Linked DNA regions of Caenorhabditis elegans. The protein of the gene in region 1 interacts with the protein of each later gene in a biochemical or structural test. Each region holds a gene or a part of one and is shown on either strand. Other genes may lie near its edges. The genes, in order: npr-11, flp-34, flp-14 and flp-5.

The links.
Region 2: of the proteins of npr-11 (region 1) and flp-34, one has a biochemical effect on the other in vitro, tested with the Caenorhabditis elegans proteins (2 studies listed by BioGRID, with this or other methods).
Region 3: of the proteins of npr-11 (region 1) and flp-14, one has a biochemical effect on the other in vitro, tested with the Caenorhabditis elegans proteins (one study listed by BioGRID).
Region 4: of the proteins of npr-11 (region 1) and flp-5, one has a biochemical effect on the other in vitro, tested with the Caenorhabditis elegans proteins (one study listed by BioGRID).

Annotation. Positions count from the first base shown.
Region 1 is NC_003284.9:1,251,281-1,257,644, reverse strand, and holds npr-11 (Putative neuropeptide Y receptor 11), read left to right. Parts: upstream 1-1,997; 5' UTR 1,998-2,029; coding exon 2,030-2,140; intron 2,141-2,254; coding exon 2,255-2,404; intron 2,405-2,459; coding exon 2,460-2,608; intron 2,609-2,659; coding exon 2,660-2,858; intron 2,859-3,261; coding exon 3,262-3,431; intron 3,432-4,079; coding exon 4,080-4,176; intron 4,177-4,225; coding exon 4,226-4,386; intron 4,387-5,475; coding exon 5,476-5,647; 3' UTR 5,648-5,830; downstream 5,831-6,364. UniProt on the Caenorhabditis elegans protein: Could be a receptor for neuropeptide Y and peptide YY.
Region 2 is NC_003283.11:1,027,377-1,035,129, forward strand, and holds flp-34 (FMRF-Like Peptide), read right to left. Parts: upstream 6,029-7,753; 5' UTR 6,010-6,028; coding exon 5,954-6,009; intron 4,277-5,953; exon of another isoform or gene 4,209-4,276; coding exon of another isoform or gene 4,153-4,208; intron 2,447-4,152; coding exon 2,330-2,446; intron 1,860-2,329; coding exon 1,794-1,859; intron 1,193-1,793; coding exon 1,130-1,192; intron 786-1,129; coding exon 770-785; 3' UTR 518-769; downstream 1-517.
Region 3 is NC_003281.10:12,908,827-12,915,450, forward strand, and holds flp-14 (KHEYLRF-amide 4), read left to right. Parts: upstream 1-1,683; 5' UTR 1,684-1,685; coding exon 1,686-1,817; intron 1,818-2,767; coding exon 2,768-2,891; intron 2,892-4,607; coding exon 4,608-4,737; intron 4,738-5,868; coding exon 5,869-5,914; 3' UTR 5,915-6,104; downstream 6,105-6,624. Other genes in the region: Y37D8A.16 (MARVEL domain-containing protein), read right to left, coding at 6,471-6,602.
Region 4 is NC_003284.9:8,526,581-8,531,534, reverse strand, and holds flp-5 (GAKFIRF-amide), read right to left. Parts: upstream 3,215-4,954; 5' UTR 3,214-3,214; coding exon 3,134-3,213; intron 1,504-3,133; coding exon 1,380-1,503; intron 770-1,379; coding exon 695-769; 3' UTR 502-694; downstream 1-501. UniProt on the Caenorhabditis elegans protein: FMRFamides and FMRFamide-like peptides are neuropeptides. GAKFIRF-amide has an excitatory effect on dissected pharyngeal myogenic muscle system.

The DNA.
Region 1 (6,364 bases):
TCTCGCAGTACTTAGCAGGCTTTCTCATCAAAAACACCAATAGCGTTTTTGTGTGGCTCCGGAAGAAAAGAGCATTCCTGGTTTTAATAAACTTTTCCTGGTTCTGATAAAAACCGAAAACAACGGGATTCTTAAAGGTGGAAAAATAACAGAAATCTGAAAATTTGCTTTTTTTAGATTCAATTTGACATGAAACTACCGAATTTTGTACTGAAAGGTTTTGAAATTTATTCGAAAAACATGAAATGGTGGTGTAAAATTTTGGAAAAAAAAGTTGTATCTTAGCCAAAATTAAAATTTTTTCAATTAAATAAAATCAGAACTTGAATAAGTAAGTTTCATTTAATTATTACCCTTTATGAAAATTTACTATAAAATCCAAAATTTTGATAAAATAATTGTTATTTAGTTTTGCTTAAAATTTTCTCAAAACAAAGTTAAGTTGGATCAAAGTTTTGGAAAAATCCGATTTTGCAGTAGATTAGATTGATTTTTTTTTAACTAAAATCAAAAAATCAAACATTTTCTTGTTTGGTTTTTGATTAAAAATTATAATTTTATCGTTAATTTTCTGTAAACTTTTATACAAAATTAACGATTTAATTGTTCAAAAAAATGGAAAAATTTTTCGATTTTCCGATTTTCCCTTTAAAAAATTGAAGAAAATCGGAATTTTTTACTTCAGATTTTCAAAAAACAAACATTTTAATTTATCGATTTTTCGAAAGTTTCCCTGTAAAAATCAAAAAATCGAAAAAATGTGTCGCAGGGGGTGATAATTTAATGAACCTTATTTCTTCAAGTTGGGACTTTTTTAATTGGCAAAATTGTGAAAAAACGAGATTTTAGCTCAAAAAACCCCTCATTTCTACAATTGTTTTTCGGAAAAAAAAATTTTCGAAAATTTTTGGTCTGAAAAATGGAAAGTCTCAAGGTCTCAGATTTTGGAACTCCACCTTTAAAAACACACAAAGTTCTGTTTTCTGATACCAGTTTTCTTTTGTTGATGTTGTTGTTGTGTTTCACTTCTCCATTTCATATCCGGCCCGTTCCTGCATTTCCGATGTTTATGGATATCCACCACAAGATGGCAGAGAGAAATGTTTAAAAAAACCGACCTGGGTGGCCGAAATAAATGGCGGTTGAAAAGACGAGTTCCGTCAAAACAAAGTCATATAAATTTTTTATTCTTGTGGTGATGCTACTAGTTTGGTTTAATCGTATTTGGTTGTCTCTGGTGAGCTCATTCACCGCTTCTTTTGTTTTTTCAAAATTATTTTTCATGAACTGCTCCCACACATTTATTAATTTTTGCTATTTCCTATAGCTTTTGACTGTTTGCGAGATTCTTTCGAATTTGGTGCAATTCTTAACAGTAAACCAAAAATTATGGTCATTGCAATGGAGATGTGGTCAGTGCAACTGATAAAGTCAATCAAAATTTTTGTCAGTGCAAATGATATAGTGGTCAGTGCAACTGAAAATTTTGTCAGTGCAATTGGCATATATGATAGCCATTGGATAAAGTCATTCGAAGTTTTGGTCAGTGCAACTAAACATCTTGTCAGTGCAAGTTGTGTATTTTTAGGCAGCATAACATAGATGATTGTGGCTGGTAAAATTGAAAAAATATTATTAAAAAAAAAAACTAAGTTATTCCTGAAATTCGGTGCACATATTGCTCCCAAACCCCTGTCTTTCAACGTTATTGTTTTTATAAAGTTTCAATTTAAAAGGGATATGGGAGTAGACACCGGGGCGGGAGAATGAGTTAAATGAGATGATAGTTTTCACTTTTCAATTTTCATTTCTTCTCTATAATTCGCAGTAATTACCTCTCATTTTTTGATATTTTTCTCTTATAACCGACCGACTAACCACTAGTCTGGATGCTCAATTTCTTGGAATATTCGTTTATTTATTTCCCTTCTGTGTGAGAAAATTGGCGTTTCACATATTTTTTTTCTTGCCTTCAATTTCATCTCCCGTATTTTTGTATTTTCGTCGGTATTTTCAGAACTTTCAACAAATGGGATCGGTGAATGAATCATGTGACAATTATGTAGAAATTTTCAACAAAATCAACTACTTTTTTCGAGATGATCAGGTTATCAATGGGACTGAGTATTCACCAAAAGAGGTTGGTATTCAAAAAGACAATTTTTTTAAATTTTGTCAGTGCAAATCAAAACTTTGTCAGTGCAAATTTAAAAATGGTCAGTGCTTACTCAAAACTTAACATTCAAATTTTCAGTTCGGATATTTCATCACATTCGCATACATGCTGATCATTTTGTTTGGAGCAATAGGCAACTTTTTGACAATCATCGTAGTCATACTCAACCCAGCAATGCGGACAACAAGGAACTTTTTCATTTTAAACTTGGCGCTGTCGGACTTTTTTGTGAGTATTTTTTGCTGGAATTATTGAAGATAGGAAACAATTTGAAAAATTCCAGGTTTGTATTGTGACAGCGCCGACCACATTATACACGGTTCTCTACATGTTCTGGCCATTTAGCAGGACATTATGCAAAATTGCGGGTTCGCTGCAAGGCTTTAACATATTTTTATCCACATTCTCGATAGCCTCAATTGCTGTTGATAGGTATGTACATATATTTTTTTTAATTAAAAATGCCATTTAACAAGTTTTCAGATACGTGCTCATTATCTTCCCAACGAAGCGAGAACGACAACAAAATCTGTCGTTCTGCTTTTTTATCATGATCTGGGTGATTTCCCTAATCCTTGCGGTTCCACTTCTGCAGGCTTCTGATTTGACACCGGTTTTCGTTGAGCCATCGTGCGATTTGGCTCTTTACATTTGCCATGAGCAAAATGAGATATGGGAAAAGGTTGGTTCTTAGTGGTCTAAATGAACTATAAACTAAACAATAAGCTTCATGTATCAGCTCCTATTAATGAAATATAAAAACTGTCTATGTACTGTAGTATTACTGTAATAATTAGGTTAATATGGTGTGACGATAGTCAAGGGAACTTGCTTAATACTTTCTATGGAAATTTGCTTTGAGTAATAGAAAATGTGTCATAATTTCCAAATACATAAAAGAGTTGAAAAAAAATTTAAAAAAATTGTTCCGATTTTTTAAAATTTTCAAATAAAATTTCAAATGACTTTTTAAAGTTTTCAGTTTTCTGAAAACATGTTAACTGGTATTATATTAACCAGTATGTATGGAAATATAAAAACAAATATAAAAAAAGACAATTTCGGCTAAACTCCAATTTTTCCAGATGATCATATCAAAAGGCACCTACACGTTGGCAGTTCTTATCACCCAATACGCATTTCCCCTGTTTTCACTAGTCTTCGCCTACTCCCGGATAGCACATCGGATGAAGCTGAGATTTGCAAACCGAAATCAGAATGTGACAACAAATACCAATACGAGTCAGAGGAGACGGTAAGAAATTTTTGAAATGTTTTTGTTTCGAAAAATGTAAAGTTCCACGTTTTAAGTGGCATTCGAAATTTTTGAAACACTGTTCTAACAGAACTTTTCTGAGAAAATCTGACCCACCTGGGCCGAATACCACAATTTAAAAATTGAAACAATTTTCTAAATTTGATGTAATTTTTTTTGAAAATTGGGAAAATCTCTATTTGTGCAAAAAAAATAAATAGCCCAATAAAAATTTTTAGAGCATTTTTTGAAATGTTTTACTATGATATTTGACACCATAGGAGTTGTTTTTATCAATTTACCCATTTGGGCTATTCCACCTTTACTACTGTGAAACTTCGAGAAAAATGTGCTCAAAATTTGTTATTTTATCTGCGGTCATAAAATTTTCAAAAAATGTTAGTAAAAAACTTTAATTTTTTGTAAAAAAATCATGTGAATGAACTTATACTAAACTGATATCTACAACATTTTGAAATTAACCCAATCACCCAATTTCAAGTTATTTTTGAAACTTTCGGATCATTACTTGCCTGGAGAACTAAATTTTGAGCTTATTCAAAAATCAAACAACTTAAAATTTTTCACATAATTTATTGTACAAAATAGATGTTCTTCGAAATAAAATTATTTTAAAAAAAGTTCCAGATCCGTCGTGGAACGTCAACGACGCACCCACCTCCTTCTTGTATGCGTTGTAGCTGTATTCGCCGTCGCCTGGCTGCCACTCAACGTTTTTCATATCGTAGGAGCATTTTCGTTTTATGTTCCACTAAAACCATAACAAATTTCAGTTCAACACATTCGAGCTGGTCAACAGTTTTTCCGTTACAACGTTCAGCATCTGTCACTGCTTGGCAATGTGCTCGGCGTGCTTGAATCCGCTGATCTATGCATTTTTCAATCATAACTTCCGGATCGAATTTATGCATCTTTTCGATAGAGTTGGGTTGAGGTTTGTGAACATTTTAAGTTAATTTTGGTAACACTTATGTGTAAAGTTGGTGGAAAATTTTTGCAATTTTGTCATTTTGCACAAAAACGTCCAGTACCAGGTCCCGTCACGATACATTTTTGTTAAATACAAAAGTATGTGCGCCTTTGAGGAAGGAGTACTGTAATTTTCAAACTTTATTATCGCTAAAATTTCATGAATTTTTCATAGACATACGGTTTTCTCAAATTTTCAATTATTAATTTGATGATTTTTTTTTTCGTAAAATTAGTTGATAAAAACAATGAGTTGTAAACTACAGTACTCTTTAAAGGCTCACCTTCCAATTTTTGAAAAAAAATTGCCGTGTTAAGACCCTGCCGGCAGGTGGTCTAAACACAGTGGGGCTATTACACTGTGGAAAACCTTTCCTCAAGAGTTATATAAATATAATAGGAACTACCAAGGTACTGTAATAGTTTGGTAGAAGAACTGTTGCGGTGTGTGGCCTGGTTTACAGCTTTTGTATCAAAGTCGTGATACACCCAGAAAATAAAAGCGATCTACCAATTAAGCGCCCTAAGTTGACACGCATAATAAAGAGGTCCTTTATTATGGGAACATAAAATTTTGAGAATGCGTATTGCACAACATATTTGACGCGCAAAATATCTCGTAGCGAAAACTACAGTAATTCTTTAAATGACTACTGTAGTGCTTGTGTCGATTTACGGGCTCAATTTTTGAAGTGATTTTCTTTTTGAATAGGGACATCAATATTCCATTTTTTTTCGTTTTTGTTATATTTTCCTCCTTAATTTATATATTATATTGATAAACAAATGATTTTAATTCAATTTGAGAATCAAGCTCCTAAATCGACCTACAGTAGCCATTTAAATAATTACTGTAGTTTTCGCTGCGAGATATTTTGCGCGTCAAATATGTTGTGCAGTACGCATTCTCACAATTTTGTGTTCCCGTAATACCATTGATCTACAAAAATTGCGGAGATTAGGCTCACGGAATAATGAGTAAATTTGAAGAAAATTATAGATGGTTGTACTGTAGAAAAATCTGAAAATTCAAAAAAATATCGCAATATTCCAGATCCCTTCGAGTCGTGATATTTGGAGAGCAAGAGTCGCTCAAGAAAAGTATGCGCACTGAATTCAGAAGCCGTGGAGGCTGTAAGACGGTAACTACTGCAGAGCCAGCAACCTTCCAGAGAATGAATGAAAGTATGATTCTGAGTGCGATGGAGCAAGATGAGCAGCTGTGATTGTTTAAGAAAACATGTAGGGTAACAATAAATCATTCCGTCATTGTTTCAAAACGCTTCTAAAACCTAATTTATTTGATTTTGATGTTCTTTTTTTTTACTTTTTTTTTCGTTTCCGTCAGTATGTTGCTGATTCAGCCTATTATGTTTCACATATGAAGATTTGTAAATGAAGCTTGTCATAAGAGAGATGATTGGTCAAATTTGAGAGAAGTGACCGAAGATTAGGGAGGGGACTGACTGAAATGCGCAGTCATGCGGAAAATTTAGGGTATTTTTGAGTTGAACAACCATATTGTTCGGCAGCTTTTCAAAACAAATGGCGTCATGGATATGGAAGTTTTTGGTTCTTCGTTTCGAGACAGGAAAGTGAATTTTAATGAACTACTCATCGGAAACTGGTCAAAAAAGCTTGTTTTTTTTAAGGGAGGGGGGATTTGATGTAAGAATGATAACAAAAATCTTTTGGGACAAAAGTATATACTCACGTGGAGTCAGAATATCTCATTTCGGTTTGATCTTCAAAAAATGCGGGAGTTGAGACGCAGACATCTCAATTGATTTTGCATGGTTAAAAGTGTGCTGACGTCACAATTTTTGCAAAAATATTCCCGCATTTTTTGTAGATCAACCTGTGATGAGACAGCCTGACGCCACGTGTATACTGTGTACACTAAAAAATGCAAACGCTACGTTTGAGTATTATATGCAAATGTA
Region 2 (7,753 bases), on another chromosome or scaffold:
CAAAGTTCTTAACTTTTTTCGAAGTGGACTCATTCGAAATTGTATTCATTTAATCTGACATCTGGCAAAAGTTTATTCTGAGGAAATTAAAATAAACATTTGAGATTGAGAATTCTGAATTCACTCGAAGCCTATGGCCTACGCCTATGACTTACGCCTATGGCAAACGCCTATGGCCTCCGCCTATGGCCTACGCCTACGGTCTACGCCTATGGCCTACGCCTATTACCTACGCCTATTACCTAAGCCTATGGCCTACGCCTATAGCAACCGTCTTTGACCAATGCCTATGGCCTACGCCTATGGCCTACGCCTATGGCCTACGCCTATGGCCTACGCCTATGGCCTACGCCTATGGCCTACGCCTATGACAAAAAAAAAGATCAAACTTCAATGTCCACAAATATCATATTCAAATCAAAAATTCAAACCAAAAAAAATTTTGGCGCACTAATATCCCGATTGTTTATTCGACCATTCTGTTCCCGCTCTTTTTAGATCAAATAAATTTCAAAACAACAGACTCACAAACTTTATTTGATTTTTTTTTGAGAAAGAAATAAAAAATAAAAACGAGTTGGGGGGACTGATTTGATACAAGACAGGAAGATGGTGAATGATGAAAAATTTGAATAAGCGAATTTTTGAATGAGGAAAATTTTTTAGAGAATAAATAAATTAATTAAATATCTGAAATAAAAACAAAACCTCGAGAGAGAAAATTTAGAAAAAAAAACGAGACGGCTACGGACGGGCTGACGTGATGGAATTATTTACGGCCAAATCTGAAAATAAAATGGATTATATTTTGTTTTAGGCCATAGACGTAGGTCATAGGCGTAGACCATAGGCGTAGGCCATATACGTAGGCCATATACGTAGGCCATAGGCGTAGGCCATAGGCGTAGGCCATAGGCGTAGGCCACAGGCGTAGGCCACAGGCGTAGGCCATATACGTAGGCCATATACGTAGGCCATAGGCGTAGGCCATAGGCGTAGGCCATAGGCGTAGGCCACAGGCGTAGGCCATAGGCGTAGGCCATAGGCGTAGGCCATAGGCGTAGGCCATAGGCGTAGGCCATAGGCGTAGGCCATAGGCGTAATCTCGAAAAATAAAATTAAAAATTACCGTAATCGTTCCGCATTATTGAGAGAAGCCACCAGGGAGTCTCTGTTCAGCGCACGTTTGATTCTGAAATAATTTTTAGTTTCAGGAGGATTTCCTCAAAAAATTTGAAAAATTTTCATCCCAATGACCCGACCAAACGCCACGACTTTCTGATTCCGAGAAAAATGTCCTTTTTTTTTCAAACTCTCTGCCAAATTTCTAATTATCTATTCAACCATTTGTCATTCGAATTGTACATTTTAAAATTGTATTTTGTTGAGAGGGTTTAAATCTTGAAAATTCGGAAACATCTTTTTATAGCTTTGAAGCTTAAGCGCCCCCACGTCATAAAACTCCTCCGCTAATCCACTTTCAATTAGTTCCAAATTTTGATCTACGTTCCAAAATGCAGGAACAAACAGGTGAAATTTTGATTAATCACTAATTTATTCTATATTTACTACTTCAAAATTTCACCTGCCTCCTAAATTTTGTTCTTCAATTTTCAGGCCTAGGCTAGGCTATAGGCCTAGGCCGGGCTATAGGCCTAGGCCAGGCTATAGGTCTAGGCTAGGCCATAGGTCTCGGCTAAGCTGTAGGTAACTGTAGGCCTAGAATATAGGTCTAGGCTATAGACCTAGGCTATAAGCCTGCCTAGGTTCTTTTACCCCAGTGAGAAACTCACAATGCGTACGGATAACGTCCTTCCGAGTAGAGGTACTGATCTTCCGATGATGGAATGATGACATTACTGAAAATCACAAATTTCTCATAGGCTACATTACTTTTATAATTGCAAAGTTCTTATTTCAAATGACGTGATGATTTCGAAGAAAAGTGGTGGGTTGTTGCTGGAGCAAACAAGTTTGTAAAGAGCATCTCCTTTTGCTAGACACAAATTTGAGATTTCCGGTCAAAACACACACTTTTATTGGATTTCGAAAGGTTGGAGTGCGTTGAAATTATTGAAAAATGTCACTCGGAAATTGAAAATGTTAAAAAAAACTTAAATTTTCAAGAAAAATGAACTGAAAAGATAGAAAAAGTGCACACTACGTACCGATCGCTGGGCTCCAAATTGTGGAAAAAGTTTAGAAATCGCATAGGTTTGAACCAGCGTCTAGAATTTTTTCCATGACCAACTAGTTTTCAAATTTCTGCGCGTCAAATCTGGTGTTCCTCGATGCACCATATCTTACGCGCAAATTTCCCAGTACTCACTTTTCTTCCCACATTGCGGGGTCCGATCGTTTGCCGTATCGAAGCCGTCCAGCATTATTGATAGCTGATGCAAATGTGGAAATGTCTGCTTTTTTCTCCAGTGGCAGGGATAGTACGCTGCAAAACTTTTTTATGTCGTGACACAGCTGAAACTATTGCTACAGTAATCCTTTTTACTTGAATATCATAACATAGTCTAAGTATACACGTGGTGTTAGAGTGTCCCATTTCGGCTTGATCTACGTAGATCTACAAAAAATGCGGGAGAAGAGACGCAGAGTTCTCAACTGATTTTGTATAGTTAAGGACGTGCTGACGTCACATTTTTCTGGGCAGAAAATTCCCGCATTTTTTGTAGATCAAACCGTAATGGGACAGCTTGACGCCACGTGAGTATACCGAATATAACTGTTTTAAAAAATTATATAATTTTTCCAAATTTTCGAGGATTTTTTATATACATTCTTAAAAAAGTTTACAGGGACTACGATTTTTTTTAATTCCAGCGCAAATGAACGGAAATTTGAAATTTTCAAATTTAAATTTAAACTACGCCCAGAAATGTATTAAAGGCGCATGCCCAAGTTTTGGTGGGTCTCGTCGCGATTTGTGAAATTTCAGTTTTTGATGCATCATGTTCGAAATTCAAAATGTATGAAATTTCTAAATAGGAAACAGGTTAAAACTTTAAAAAATTTTTAAAAAAATTTCAATTTTTAGAATTTTTGGTTCAACTATTAACAGTATTACTACATATCTGAATTTATCAAAAATTTGTTGATCCAAATCTAGATGGGGGATTAAGCCTAGTTTTTGATTGTTTTGAGATGCTTCCTTGTTGACTTTTTCACAATTTATTACTCATGAGCATTGACTAATACTCCAAATTAATCCCCTTTTGTTTCAGAATTACTTTTTTTTTGTGGATTTTCAAAAAAGATCATGAAAAAAATCCTACTTATCTCAATTTTGCCACGTCATTGAGAAAAGTTGAACTGCAATTTTTGGTCGAAAACATTTTTTTCAAACAGAAATTCACCTGCCATGATGTTTTGCGCAGACAAGCTAAATTTAGATTTCGAAAAGATTTAAATTTGAGTAAGTAACTGAGTAGTAAGTTCAAAAATTAGAAAACATCAAGTTTTTATAATTTTTAGATTTTTTAAAATTGTTCTGATTTTTTTCCAAAGTTATCCCAATTAATTTTGTGATTCTAAAAATTGTCTTAAACTGAAATGAACATAAGCTTATCCAAAAAATTAAAAAAAAAGCTCAGAAATTCAAACTTCGACCCAAAAAATTTTAACCAAATTTTGGATTTTTTTTTCTTTTTTCCAAAAATTCAAAAAAAAAACCTTATAACTTACAAATTAACACATATATTTAATGAGACTATAGTAATTTTTTTTTTGAAAAATATTGAGTTTTTTCTAATTATCCTAGATGATACTGCACCCTTAAAATAGTTTTTGAACAAAAATCATTAAAAAAATTTTTGCAAAATATTTTTGGCCCAACCAATGTATTAAGTTATAGATTTTGGTTCAGTTAAAGGTACTACAGTAATACTACAGTAATACTACAGTAATACACTATAGTAATGTTAAAATAATGTAGGATCACAGTAAACAGAAATATGGTCTCTTACCAAATTTTAAAACAAAATTTTCGTATTTAAAAAAATTCAAAAAATTCATAACCAACAACTTTCAAATTAAAAAAAATCATATAATAAAACTACCGTACTTTCAACAAAAAAAATCTACAGTACCATTCCCTACAGTACCCCTACAGTACCCCCACAGTACCCCCACAGTACCAACCTGTCAGTTAAAACCAAAGCAACAAAAATCAGAGCCATCAAAAATTGGAACTGCATGTTTTAGAAAATATGTTTAGTAGTGGAAAATGTGTGTGAGTGTATGTATCGGGTGTCGAAAACAGAATGAGCTTTCTCCCCCCTCTTGCTCGCCGAGCCAAAAGTGGGCGGCGCCTAATGGTGGGTGCTCCCAGGAAATGATGCCTGCCTTTCATCACATTCTTCTTTAATTTTTTCTTGTTGCCACGTCATCACACACAGCTACGGTATTTTTATATACTATACGATGAATCCATGACAATAATACGATTGTTTTACGACTTTTTGGGTGGTAAATTAGGTTTTAGGCTTAAAGCAGGAAGAAGCTAAACGGAAATGTGGTGCCAATTAAATGGAATGGTTTTAAACCGAAATTGGGTAACCGGATAGAATTTGTTAGCGGTTTTCGAGGAGGGAAATATGGAAAAACAGAAAAATATACACAGATATATACATGTATATATTTCAATTTTGAAAGCATCACCGCGTCACTTTTATTTGCGAAAAAACAAATTATTTTCCCTCTCTGCCAAAATTACAATTTCATAATTGGGTTCCTACGAGGGAGTGGGCTCAGGAATTTCTGAAATAGCTGAAATATTATAGTTTTGAAATTTCTAAAAATTTTAGCAATTCCGGCAATTTTTTTCGAAAATTTATACAGAAATATAGAAAAACATTTGTACTTTCTGATAATGGTATTACTTTTTTCTTTAAAAATTCAAAAAGCTGCTCAAAACCCACCTAAAAGTCAAAATGTGCCGATAGAGTCAGTGACCCTAGGTGCATTACGGCCGGCTTTGAGGCAGTTTTTCGGCAATTTCTCAAACATTTTAAATAAAGATAAAATTGTTTTCAGAAAGAACAGATATTTCTCTACATTTCTATATAATTTTCCAAAAAAATATTTTCAAAAAATTTTTTTGGATAAAAATGAGTTTTGTAAATGAGCCCCATCCCTCTGTTTGGAAATAAAAATAAAAATAAAAAGTAAATTTCCTCAATTTCAAATTTTCCAAAAATTGTTGATGCTATGCAATTTCCGACAGCAGGCACCTAATTGCCTGCCTGCCTTCAAAGCAAACCCCATGAAGAAACTTAATGGAAATGAAAATAGACAGAAATTAGCAAATATGCATTTTTATTGGAGGCGGCGGTAGGCAATAGGTAGGCACATAGGCAGGCAGGTCTCCTTCTAACGCGTCCACGAGAAAGATAAAACCCGTCCACATTTAAATTTCGAACAAGGTAATTTTTATCGACTTTTATATTTTTCTACGTCACATATAGTAATCTATATCGGTTTTACCTATAAAAATTGCGGGAAATTCATCGGTATGACGTCACTTGAATTTTACTGCGAGACCTTCCAAAAATACTATGTTTGCGAGTTTCGAAAGCCTAATTGCTTCCTCATATTTTTGAATACATTTTTTTCAAATGTAGTTTCATAATAAAAAAAGTGATTCTGCATAAATAAAATGTTGATCTAGTTATCAAAAAACCCTTCACCTGGTACAAATGAAATTTGATTCGTTTTTGCTTTTCAAAAACCAATTTTTGATCTAGTTTCATAGATTTTGACAACTTTTGTTTGCTAAAGAGCTCAGATTATTTGAAGAATTTTAGGAATATTGTACCAAAAAAAAGTTCAAGTACCTACCTGCTTGCCAAGGTTAAATTTTCTAGTTGTAAGCCTTTAGAATCTTCTTTAGAGCTTTGAAATGAACCATGTAATTGTCTTAAAAAATAATTAAAAAAATTACCTGACAGAAAGAAGAACTGTGAAGAAAATGAGCAATTCTGTGATCAAGCTGTGCATTTTTATTCTGCAACGGGGGTACCTGAAAGTAAAATTTTTAGAGATTGAGCTGAATTTCAAAGGAATTCAGCAAAAATTTCCGAGAAAATGAGAGTTTGAGGTGAAATGCGGCTGCTACGTGGCCTAGGAAATTGGAAACTCGGCCATGAGTATTTTTTTTAATTTAAAAACCTCGAGATTAGCATACAGTATTCATACTAGAGGCCGCAAAAAACAAAAAATATCAAAAATAAATTCCTGGCCGAATTTTCTAATTTTCGCGGCCACGTCTGGACCAGAGTCAGAAACTGCAAGATTCCTGTAAAAATTCGAATAATACACGTAAAATTGTGAAAACTCAGGAAATCCTTCAACAAGTCCGTCGTATTTCGGAATGAAAAATTCATTAGCACCGCATATTATTTGAGACACAAAGCGCAAAAAAAGGAAATTTCCGAATTCGAATACAAATTAATATTTAATTTTTTTATTCTTGTTGTTAGAGGGCATGATGTCAATGTATATGAGGAAATCTGTATAGAGAGAAAATAATTTAAAGGGCATGAGAACTTGATGCAAATCAAGCACGTGGTCTGCAAATTTCAAAATTTTCGGCAAAGTGCCGGTTTGCCGAATTTGCCGGAAATTTTCAATTCCAAAATTTTGCCGATTAGCCGACAATTTTCATTTCTGGCAAATTATCGGTTTGCCGAATTTGCCGGAAATTCTATATTCCGGCAATTTGCCGATTAACCGGAAATGTTAATTTTTGGCAAATCGCCGGTTTGTCGAATTTGTCGGAAATTTTCAACTCCGACCATTTTCCGGATTTCCGGCAATTTTTGTTTTTGGCAAATTGCCGGTTTGCCGAATTTGCCGGAAACTCGAAAAACGGCAAATTGCCGACTTTGCCGGTAAAAATATTTACCGCGCACCTCTGGTCTTAATACACTCATACATTCAGATTTTCAAATTTTCAAATGTTTGAGAATATTTCAGGTTTTTCAAAAATTTTATATAGACAAAGTTATTGGCAAAAAATCTAATTTTCCAAAAAAAAAGAGGGTTGACCTCCAAAATTGGCGAAAGGGGAAATTTAGTTTTCCCTTTTTTGACTTCAATTAAAAAAACTCAAAAAAAAATTCTACCGTAATTTCGGCTGAGTGTGACGTCAATTTTCTAAAATATTTCTTTACTACAGTTGACCATGGGAAAATGGAAATTTTGGAACTTTCGAGAAATAAAAATTGCCACGAAATTTCCTCGTACATATTTCATAATTAGCAGTGAGAATAAATGACGTTAGAGAACTAAAAATAATTTTGAGATCCCAAATATAGATTGTTGTGAGAACTACATTTGGGTAAACATATCGTTTTTAGGTAGAGTTTTTGTAAATTTTCAGAGATCCCATGAAAATTTGAAGACACAAGGCAAATTGACTGAAGTTTTGCACCGTTTATTTAGTTCACCATAAGGCCAAAACATTTTCTAATCAATTCCAAGTAACCAAAAAGGTTAATTAAAAAATTTCTAATCAATCAGAATCGTCTAAGCGTCATTCACCTGATTGATGAATTTGTTTTGGTATTGACAAATTAGAAAAAAGGTTAAGAACCAAAACTATCTAACAACAAAAAATTTCGTAAACTGGAAAACTGGGACTCGTTTTGGTTTAGAAATAGTTTAACAACTTTAGAAATTTCTAGGCCCTACAAGGTCCTGTGCAAATATAGTTGTTGTTTTTGGCATGCCTACGAAAGTA
Region 3 (6,624 bases), on another chromosome or scaffold:
AAATTGAAATGGAAGAGTTTGCCGAACTAGGCCATTTTGGCTCGGCCATATCTGGGGTAGATTTACGGCGCGTTGCGTGTCGCGTCGCGGCTCGATTGTAAAACTAAATGTCCGTGTGGAGTTCACACGACTTTCCCGGCGGCCGATTGTCAATGGAGCGCGAAAAAATCGATGAGGAAGGCTAGAAGCCTGTGCATCATTTCCGCAAATTTTTTGAAGCTCCGTCGCGGTCATGGCCGATGTTCCCAACTCTCTCGGAACGCTCCGTCTTCATAAAATGGGTCTCATTAGGAATTTGGTCGTTTTAGCTATTATTCGTTATTTTTAATGATTTTTTTCGATTTTTTGATTTTTTGATTTTTTTCGTCACAAAAAACATTAAAACACACTGAAAAAATTAGAAAAATTAACGAAATCAGGAGATATAAAAAAGTTTGAATTTACGATTTTGTCGCCAAAAACCTAACGAGACCCAAGTTATGTCACTATGCGGCAATTCAAAAAAAGACAAATGTGTTATTTTGTTCTGGAAGTTACAATTTTTCACAAAGTCAGACCAATTAGAGCAGCCTCTTTCGAGTGAAAAAAGAAAAGAAAACACTTAACGAGCACACACAAATTTTAGAAGAAAAAAAAACGGAGCACCACGTGGAGAATTGCACGAAAACAACATTAAGCGATGGTTCTATACTTCCTTTTTTGTTCTGAACGTTTAATTTGGGAATAGTTTGAGCAAAGCCTAGGCTGGTCTAGGCTGGTCTAGGCTGGCCTAGCCCAGCCTAGCCAAGCATATTTTAGCCTAGACTCCCAGCTTGGCTAACCTTGCCTAGAATCCCAGTCTTGCCTAGCCTAGCCAACCTTACATAACGTATCCTACGCCTACCTAGTCTAGCCTCACCTAGCCTAGCCTAGCCTAGCTTAGTATACCCTTAACTAACCTAGTCCAACCTTATCTTACCTATCTTATCCTATGTCTACCTAGCCGGGCCTAGCTTAATCTAACTTCCCAGTCTTGCCAAGCCTAGCCAAGCCTAGCCAAACCTAGTCAAGCCTAGCCAAGCCTACCCTCACCTATCCCTGCCTAGCTTAGCCTAGCCTGGCCTAGCCTTACCTAACTTATCCATCGCCTGCCTAACCTGGCCTAGCTTAATTTGTCCTATTCTTACCGAGTCTAGCCTAACCTAACCTAGTCTGTCCTAGCCTAGCCTAGCCTAGCCTCACCTAGCCTAGGCTCACCTAGCCTTGCCTACTCTTCACTAGACTCCTAGACTTGCCTAGCCTGACCTATCAATACATCTGCTCTGTTCAAACATTGACCTCCTCTGTCACTTAACTCAATATGCCCCTGGGCCTCCTTACGGAACCTCCGATACATTTTTTTTGGTTTTTTTTATTTTTTATTACTTCCGGGGCAGATTCTCAGATGTTTGAGGTGTTTTCTCTTTTCCAATTTTCCCGGAAAATTTTAGCGAAATCCTGCTAATCCGGGGACCCCATCCCCTCGGCTAATTAGTATTTGTTTTTTTTTTCGTAAAATTTTTAGTGCTACCGTACTCTTGAATTTTGTTTCATTTTTTTTTCTTCTCCTCGAGCTCTACCAAGCCACGCCCACAACATTTCACTTTCAACACCGAGCTCCGCCCATTTTGAAGTCTCCTCTGGCTCCAACTGAGAGCTCTCTTCATATGATGATCTGCCTGCCCACCGCGCTTCTGCTCTCCGCGTTCGTCGTGGCCGCCAGTGGCCAGGAGGCACCGGCTGGAGCCGGAGCTTCTGGAGCCGCACAGGCTCCACACAATCCGAAGGATTGTCAAGCGGTGAGTCAAAAAAAAACCATTTTGTTCTAAGAAGTTTAAAGTCATGTTTATAATTGGGTTTAAAAAAGTTTTTTTTTTCAAAACTGCAAGTGGAAGTTATAATGAGATAGTTTAGTGCATTTTGGAAAAGTTTTTCGAAAACTAAGTTAGGGCCTGCGTGACGTCATACATCCCATGGTTCTCAAAATTCTGAGAATGCGTACTGCGCAACATATTTGACGCGCAAAATATCACGCAGCGAAAACTAATGACTACTGTGTATTGGTTTGATCTACGCAGATCTACGAGAATCGCGGGAACTTAGACGCAGACTTCTTAACTGATTTCGCATGGTTAAGAACGTGCTGCCGTCACATTTTCTGGACAAAAAATTTGATAAATATGATATTCTTTTGATCCTCATGACGTTTCGGTTGTAGTAAACTTAATAAGATCACAATTTCTGCTCATTTTTCGGGGGAGGATTGGATGCACAATAAAGATTAAACAACTTGCGATGAATAGAAAAAAAATCTATTTTCTTTTTCATAGTTAATCTAGATGATTCTAACCTGATCATACTATTCTCTGTTTGATTTGAATGTGTTTTTTTGTGGGGTTGGAAAGTAGTAGATCAAAGTTTTTTTAGAACTCCACTTTGGTAGATCATAACTCGGTTCATTTTATAGATAGCAAAATTTTTTAAACTATAAAGTTGCAGAAAAAGAAAAAACCTATATTTTTCTAGTTAACAACTTTTTGATAAAGCTAAAGATAGCCGAGATATGAGCTGTCAAATACGGGCTTCATCTCACCGTAGTCCTCGACAAAAATCTGAACCTATAATTACAAGGCTTCCGGTTGGTTTTTTTTTTGAAACCATGTAATTTTCGTGCTTTTCCCAAGGATTTTGTTCCGGAATAATCACTGGGTTTGAAAAACGTACTACTGTAAAAAAACACATTTTCCAGATTCTGGCCAACAACGGCGATCAACAAGAGGCGCTTTTGTGCCAATTAAGCGAGAGCAGCATGCTTCTTGCTCAGCTCGGAGCTCTCGTTTCGGAGGGAGTTGAACGTCTCGTTCAGACTCACGGTAAGTAGGCAGGTAGTAGGTAGGCAGTAGGCAGGCAAGAGGCAGGCAGTAGGAAACAGGGGCACCGCCGAAAATTTTTTTTTCGATTTTTCGGTTGTTTTTGAGCATAACAGAAAAACAAAAAATTTAAAAAAAAACCGAAGATCCGGCAGCCCTGGTAGGTAGGCAATAGGCAGGCAGTAGGTAGGCAGTCGGCAGGCAGTAGGCAGAAGGGGTGCCTTTGCCAGGTTTTTCGGTTTTTTTGGGCAAAACCGAAAAATCGGAATACCGTAAAATTGGAGTCTGAAAAACGAAAGTTGGCAGTAGGCAGGCAGTAGGCAGATAGTAGGTAGATAGTAGGCAGGCAGTAGACAGGCAGTAGGCAGCAGAGGTGCCTATGCCAGGTTTTTTTGGTTTTTTGAGCATAACAGAAAAACAACAATTTTTTCAAATAAACCGAAAATCCGGCAGGCAGCAGGCAGGCAGTAGGAAGGCAGTAGGCGGGTAGTAGGAAACAGAGGCACCGCCGAAATTTGTTTTTTCGATTTTTCTGTTTTTTTTTTAGCAAAACCGAAAAACGAAAATTAAAAAAAAAAAAACAGAAAATCCGGCAGGCCAGGTAGGCAGTAGGTAGGCTGAAGGCAGGAACTAGGCAGTAGGCATGCAGTAGGCAGGTAGTAGGCAAATACTAGGTAGGCAGTAAGCAGGCAGTAGACAGGCAGTAGGCAGCAGGGGTGCCTATGCCAGTTTTTTTTTGGTTGTTTTATAGCAAAATCGAAAAATCGAAAAACCGTAAAATGGGAATCTGAAAAACGAAAGTTGGCAGCAGGCAGGCAGTAGGCAGGCAGTAGGCAGGCAGTAGGTAGCAGGGGTGCCTATGCCAGTTTATTTGGTTTTCTGTCTTAGCAAAACCGGAAAACAGGAAAACCGGCAAGCCTAGTAGGTAGACAGTAGGCAGTAGGCATGCAGTAGGCAGGTAGTATGCAGGCTGTAGGTAGGCAGTAGGCAAGCAGTAGGCAAGCAGTTGGCAGAAGGGGTGCCTTTGCCAGTTTTTTCCCTTTGGTTTTTTTTTAGCAAAACCGAAAAACGAATTTTTTCTTTAAAAAACACCGAAAATCCGGCAGGCCTGGTAGGTAGGCAGTAGGTAGGCAGTAGGCAGGTAGTAGACAGGCAGTAGGCAGCAGGGGTGCCTTATCCAGTTTTTTTGGTTTTCTGTCTTAGCAAAACCGAAAAATGGAAATACCGTAAAATTGGAATCTGAAAAACGAAAATTGGCAGTAGGCAGGCAGGCAGCAGGCAGTAGGCAGACAGTAAGTAGGCAGTAGCAGGCAGTATGCAGAAGTAGGAAACAGGGGCGCCGCCGAAATTTGTTTTTTCGATTTTTCGGTTTTTTTAAAGCAAAATTATTTCAAAAAAAAAAGCAGAAAATCCGGCAGGCCTGGTAGGTAGGCAGTAGGTAGGCTGAAAGCAGAAACTAGGCAGTAGGCAGGAACTAGGCAGTAGGCAGGCAGACAGTAGACATCCGATTTGCCAGCTGCATGAGTCAAACTTCATTTTCTCTGCATCAAATAAGCCTCCGGTGACCCAGCCGAAAGCCTAGACTATCAATCACGTTCCGCCATTTTCTTGAAAAAGCCCCTGACTTTTAAAATGTAAAGCGCCAAATTCTTTTTAAATTCTTAATGATGGTTGTGCTCTTGCTTTGAGGTCTGATCCCAATGGGAAACGTTGTTGCAGGATTGGCTCTCGAGGAGGAGACCAACGAGGGAGACAATGACATGGAGAAGCGCAAGCACGAATACCTCCGATTCGGAAAGAGAAAGCACGAGTATCTCAGATTTGGAAAAAGGAAGCACGAGTACTTGAGGTTTGTGATTTTTTTTTAGTTGTAAGGCAGGCAGTAGGAAGACAGTAGGCAGGGTGTAGGCAGGCAGTAGGCAGACAGAGAGTAGGTAGACAATAAGCAGGCAATAGGCAGGCAGGGAATAGACAGGCAGTAGGCAATCAGTAGGCAGGCAGTAGGCAGACAGGGAGTAGGAAGACAATAAGCAGGCAATAGGCAGGCAGTAGTAGGCAGATGTTATTATGGCGCCGCAAAAAGCTGCAACTGTTAGATGGGGGCAAATACGCTCCAACGTACAAATGAATACACCCAGGAAATTTTTGGAACCAATTTTCTTAACGAGACCCAAATTATGGCAGCGTTTGGAGCGCAATTGCACTTTTTTTTCGAAAAATTGTCATTTTTGCGTCACCGTAATACTTCTCAGGTCTCTACACGAATTTGCTTGTTTTTTTTTAATACAGAAGGAATTCAAAAGCCTATAAAGATTACTGTAGTGTCCTGCAAAATATTATTTATTTACACAAAAATAATACGGACAAATTCTCGAGGAAATGATAGAAAAACTTTGAAAAATCGATGAAAATCAAAGTCGCACACCTTTTCGAATTTAACGAAAAATTTGTCGCGTCGAGACCTGTATTTGTGGCTGAAAAATCGTGTAACAAACTTGCGCGTAAAATATGATGTCTGTGCATCGAATTTTATGCGCGAATTTTTTTTCCCACTTTCACGGGGTTCAGGCCTTCCTCATTGCATTTTTCGCGCTCCATTGACAATCGCCTGCCGGACAACGCGTGGGAAAGTCGTGTACTCCACACGGACAAGTGATTTAGATTTACAACTAAAATCAAGCCGCGACGCGACACGCAATGCGCCGTAAATCTACCCCAGCTATGACCGAGCCAAAATGGCCTAGTTTGGCAAACTCTTCCATTTCAATTTATGAGGGAAGCCAGAAATCCGTGATTTTTCGAGCACAATTTAACGGAGAGAACAAGCTCTGATCTTCGCACTTTTCCGTAACACTATTAAACTTCAAAAATTGAATTTTCGACTCAAATTCGGTGTTCTTTTTGTTTGTTTCTAAATCAAATGTCACACGATGTCTCTAAAGGAAATTGTGTTCCATCAAATTTCCCCTATTTTTTTCAGATTCGGAAAGAGAAAGCACGAATACTTGCGTTTCGGACGCAAATAAGAAGGGAATATCTACTATCATCGAAGAAACATCTTTGAAAACCATACAAATAAAAGAAGAAAAAGACGGAACTACAGTACACCATTTTTTTTTGAAAGATTTTTTTTTCTATATTTTTCTCTCTATCTCTTTTCTCTCTCCCTCTCAGCATTGTCGAAAGAAGAAATTGTAATAAATCTTGTCGTTGGTTAAGAGTTATTTTCTAGAAGTCAGAGGAAGATAAGTGCGCAACCGACATTAAACAAGGTTCACGATGAACCACTTTAAAAACGATTTAAAGAAAGCAAACTTCTGGGTCTTGTAGAAATTTCTGGGAATCTGGATTTTTTGACAAGTTTTGCTGGAATGCTCAGAAAAAAAAACACTTCGAATTTTTTAAAATGTACGGTAAATTTTTTATTAGAATTTTTGTCAATAATTCCAAAAAATGAACAAAAACGCAATTATAAGATCCCTTCGAGATAAATGGAACAAAAAAAAAAGAATAAATATAAGTAGATCGTATTAGAAATTTACATGAAAATGAGCAATAAAAAATCCCAAGACTTCTGCCGAATTACTGCACGTAAACTCCACGATCGTATTTATTGAACTTTTGCGAGCGCTGTAGAATCTTATCGTTGACAAGATTTGCAACGAAAATGGCAGCGATGCCGAGGAAGCATCCAACGTTGAGTCCAGCCATTGCCTGTAAGAAATTAATTTTGAAA
Region 4 (4,954 bases), 7.3 Mb from region 1:
ATTTTTGAAACCTCTGTTCTAACCAACTTTTCAATTTTCTGTAGAACTCAAGGCTACCAAAGCCAAAAAAAATTAGTAAACGAAAAAACATTTCAAATAACATCTATACTGCCACCACTTTCTAAAAACCAAATTGGGATGATCGTAAGTTTTGAAGATTAGATATGTGTATGGAGATTTAAACAAAAATAAGTTTTTAAGTATTTTTGACACATGCAATAGTAATACAAAATGAAATGATTGTTCAATTGTGTTGATTCCTTGGCATAAAATTTCAAACCACATTCAAACATTGACATGTCATTTGATTGACTAGATTGCAGTATTTAGTTAATATTTCGATTAAAAAAAAGAACGCACACAATTTTTGGAAACATATTTAGGTGAGACGTCTAATTAAGTCCATATTTTATAATGAATTGTTTACGTGTTTCTTATTGTTTTTTTAAGATCATGGATTATGGATACTTGTTATTCAAAAATTTTGAAACATAATAATTTAACGCAACGTTTTTCATTTGAGAAGGCGTCGAAATGGAAAACACAAAGAATATCAGTTCGCACAACAGTTCGAAAAAAATAGGAGGACAAATAAATGAGTGAAAGGGTATATTTCAGGTGGGGACTTTTTAAGAAACACTATGCAGTTAGACAACGTAGGAGCAGTGATTCGACACGAGTTGATTGTTCCTAATTAGCCGAATCGGATGAATTTGGCTCCACGTTTAACGTAGAGCTCGTTGACCGATGGTGAGGCGTATCCATCTTCCTGAAAATTCAATAAATGATGATGGCATAATGGTTAGTATACATGAGAAGTTGACGTTTCGGATGCGTCATTACTCATATCCATGTGTTGGCATATGACATAGTGCTTTTTAGCGTGATATTTTCATATATGTATTCCGTTTGTAAAGATAGTGGGGGAGCGGGGTTTTTAATATTTCAGAAAGCTAATAGCTTGTAATGCAGTGTGTACTCAGTCACGTCGATCTTTCATGAAATTCTGACGTTTTTCTTGTGACTTAAAAGTATTCCGTCTTCGCTGGAAATGACAGGCATCGTTTATCCTTTATTAGTCTCATCATATACTTATTAGTCGAAATTTGTAAATGTTCATATACGACTAGAACAATTTTTTTAAGGTGCTCCCCAGCATTACAAAAAAATCTCTAGACTCAGCAAATATCAAAACAGATAAAAATCAAGATTTTCAGAATATAATTTGCATACGTAATAAGGGGGTCGAATAGGATTTTCTACAATGGTAGCAGCTTAAGCTATGTGTACAACAAACACAAGGAAACAAGCTTTTCAGAACCTTGGTTTTCGACTTATGCAGTGATTCACTGAAAAAATTATTTTCTTGAAATACTAACCCAAGTGTTCCTTGATCGCCCAAATCTGATAAACTTGGCTCCTGCACGACCGAATCGGATGAATTTTGGCTTTGGTGCTCGTGCTATTCTTTGGTATTTTTCAAGGTAGTCCGCGTCTTCGGCACTGAAAATATTCGGTGTTATTAGATTGAAAAGTCCATATTTGTGAACAAAGAGACCGTTGTTTTATTTTTTTAAAATGTCATAGAACCTTTCCTGTCTTTTTTCTTACGTATTTCACACGTCAATATTGAAAATGTGTCTATTTTAATTACCACCATTTATCATATTTTTAATATTGTGTTTCGGTTCACCACGACCTACATTTCTGCATATAATTGTTCAAAAATAATTGAAAAATGAAAAGATAAGAAGGTTACCACATTTTCCTTTTTGTCGCTTAACCAACTACTTTACTTTTCCAAACTCAATGAGCACATGCGTCATGTTAGCACGCCAAGTGCAAAATTAAACGCTTCATTTACCAATTGTATTGAACGACTAGAGCAAAAAAGTGGTGGCAACTTTTTGAAGGAGACATGTTTTGTGAGTGCTCTGATCCCTCCAGTGACTTTCTAAGAATGAAACAGGGAAGTTTCAAAGTTGCCTGATATTAAAGAAGCGGGATAAATCGAGAACGGAATGCTAATTTGTGTTACATTGAAGGTCAAAGAAGCTAATTTTATGAATTCCACCCTCGCTTTTCTATTAGGTTAGAGACTAGTCCTCAACTATTTTATTGTTTGACATACTTTTGTTTTTGTTTTCAATGCTTGGAATTCAATGTTCTGAATGGGAAATTCCAAGCTTTAAAACAAAACAAACAGTTTAAAAATCTGAGTATTTCGAAAAGTAATTTCAAAAAGATATTGTCATTGAACACTTCCATTCTTTGTTTATAACGTCATCTCTATTTTTTCCTTGCTGAAGACTCTGGCCTCCCAACAAAGTTGTTCCAATTTTTTAAACAATAGTATGGAAAGAATGGGTCAAAGTGCATCTCACCGGAAGCATCGAATGCAAAGCGAATAAGCAAAAAGCGCGCCTCCTAGTACTCGCAATTGAATTTGAATGGCTGATTGATATTTCCGCTTCATCCGACACCAAGAGTCCAACAGACAAGATGGGATCCCCCAAAAAGAATAAACTCACGTCACATTACGATGCTCATGAGAATGAAAAAAAGGGAGGAGACCGGGGTATAAGTTCGTAGGAAGCGCACAAGATGCTAGTAGTAAAGTGAAATGCCGAAGAAAACGAACAGAATCTAGTATGTGTGTTAATCACGCCATTGCATCTTTGTATAATTAGAAAATTACGAAAATGATGATGAAATAAAGTGCATGATGAAAAATGCGTCACTTTTGAGCAATTAGCTGTACAACGATGATTTAATTTGGATATTGAAACTATTTCTGTATTAGTATTTAGTTTTTCTGAAAAAGATAATTTGCTTGTACCTACGACTTTAATAGGTTCCGTTGTTGTTTCAATCTAGACCTTCACGCACCGTTAGAGTTTTGGTTTTTTGTGTTTTTTTTTCTGTCTGAGTTGGTAATTTATGTCAGCCTTTTTTAAAATCCTTTTAATAATTTTACTTTAAGTCCTAGCGCCTTTTCTTTTTAGGAAGTCCATGATAGTCTCAATAGCCGAAGCAATGATCACAATCAAGAACAAATGGCCAGTTTTGATCAGTTGGGGTTTAACAATTGGCTCATCACAGCACCTGAACCCTAGACATCAAATTAACCTACCTTGATTGAGCGGAAACACATTGGAAGACAAGAAGGGTGGCGATGAAGAGGAAAGCAATCGTGGTGCTTCGGCTGCTCATAGTTGCGAGGAATGACTGTTTCGTAAAAGGCGGGTGCTGTCGTGGAAGCTGAAAGGCGGGGACGCTGCGCATGGCTTGCCAACTGGCTCCGCCCCATCTCTACTATTATGTGGAGCGGTTGGGAGCTGAACTAGAGATGATGGGAAATAAGGAGTAAATTGAAACTGTAGTTGTTATTTTTGGGAAGAGACTTTATCTAAAAGAGTTGTTATTATAGTAGGAAGAGAAGATAATTGGAGAAATGAAGATATCAACATGTCTACTACAACAGAAAATAGCAATATGCTTTTGATAACTTGCGTCAAAGTTGCATGACATAATTTGATGAATTAGCTCGTCTATATTGGCGATCAAAAATATAAAAAGAATCCTCCAGCAGATTTCTGAATTCTCTGCGCAATTCGTCACACGACCCAAAAGCTTTTTTAGGTACTTTTAGGTACTTCCTTCCAGACTTCAACTTTAACAAGCTCTTTTTGCAAAACGGAATGCCCTCTATGTTTCCCATTTAACCCCGTGGAGATTGAAAAGTAAACGATCTAGTAAGCCTCTGGGGGAATAGAAGGGGTACCGGAAAACTAACGACTTAACCCAGAGTTTGATAATAGAAATGGAGTCAGAAGCCGAAAAGCTGATTGAAAACAAATAATAGAGTAGGATTATTTGTTTTCGAACCAGGGTCACTATCAATTGGGAGAAAAATAATAATACGAAAATCAGAACAAAAAATTAATCAGAAACCTTTCAAATTTCAAATAGACTTCTAGTGATTGTTTTAGTACGTCATAGAGCATCAACTTTGGTTTTTAGAAAACTTGCAAATCGATGTAACGCTATTCCCAAAAAACACTCCGACGATCAACTATAAATTTTGTTTATGTACCAATTCATAATTTCCACGAACCGATAAAAGTGCTCATGTACCGGTTTTACTTCAAAATGAGAGTTTTGTATTGTGTTCACTTGCCGAATTCTCATTTCCGTTTTCCATAATATACACAAGAAACAATATCAATTGCAAGATTCATTTCAGATCCACCCGTTTCAAGCCCACATTGCTTCTTTTTTCTTAGATACCACAAAAAAAAACAACTAAACTAAAGTTAAAAAACTGAACTATTCTGTTTCTAGGCGGCGCGTTCTCCGTAGTAAATGGGAGATTCTCCGAAAACTGCAAAATGTCAGTGTTGAATGACCGATTTGACATGTCGGAGGAGGAAACGGCGGGGCCTGACATGACGTGTCCGTTTTGGCCCACAAAAAAGTTTTAATTAAAACTGGAAGCTACGGGAATGAAAAAGTCTACGGGCGAGCAAACAAACCGTAAAGCCTAGAATTTTCAGCATATTGAATTTTTACGCGAACTTTGTATTTGAACTTTTGCTCGATGACTTTCTTTACGACATGTGTGAATTTTAAGATCATGTTTCATTTTCTTAAAGAAGTTTGTTTTCAAAAAGGTTTATTCAATACTAAAACACAACAGAACCAATTTTTGTTACCCTCTTTCAGTCTTGATTAAGAGTACTAAAATAATGCAGAAGTGTACCAATTGGCCATATCATCTGTACTTTTTGTGTTCAATATTACTTTCCAAGAGTTGTTTTATTGTGTTCACGATCTTTATTTATACTGTCATCAAAGTTTACAAATTTGGTACACCCACATTTCAATGGTCATATTACACAGATAAATGTCATCACTTCCCGAAATCTGCGGAAATCAATGGTTTTTTCATTTC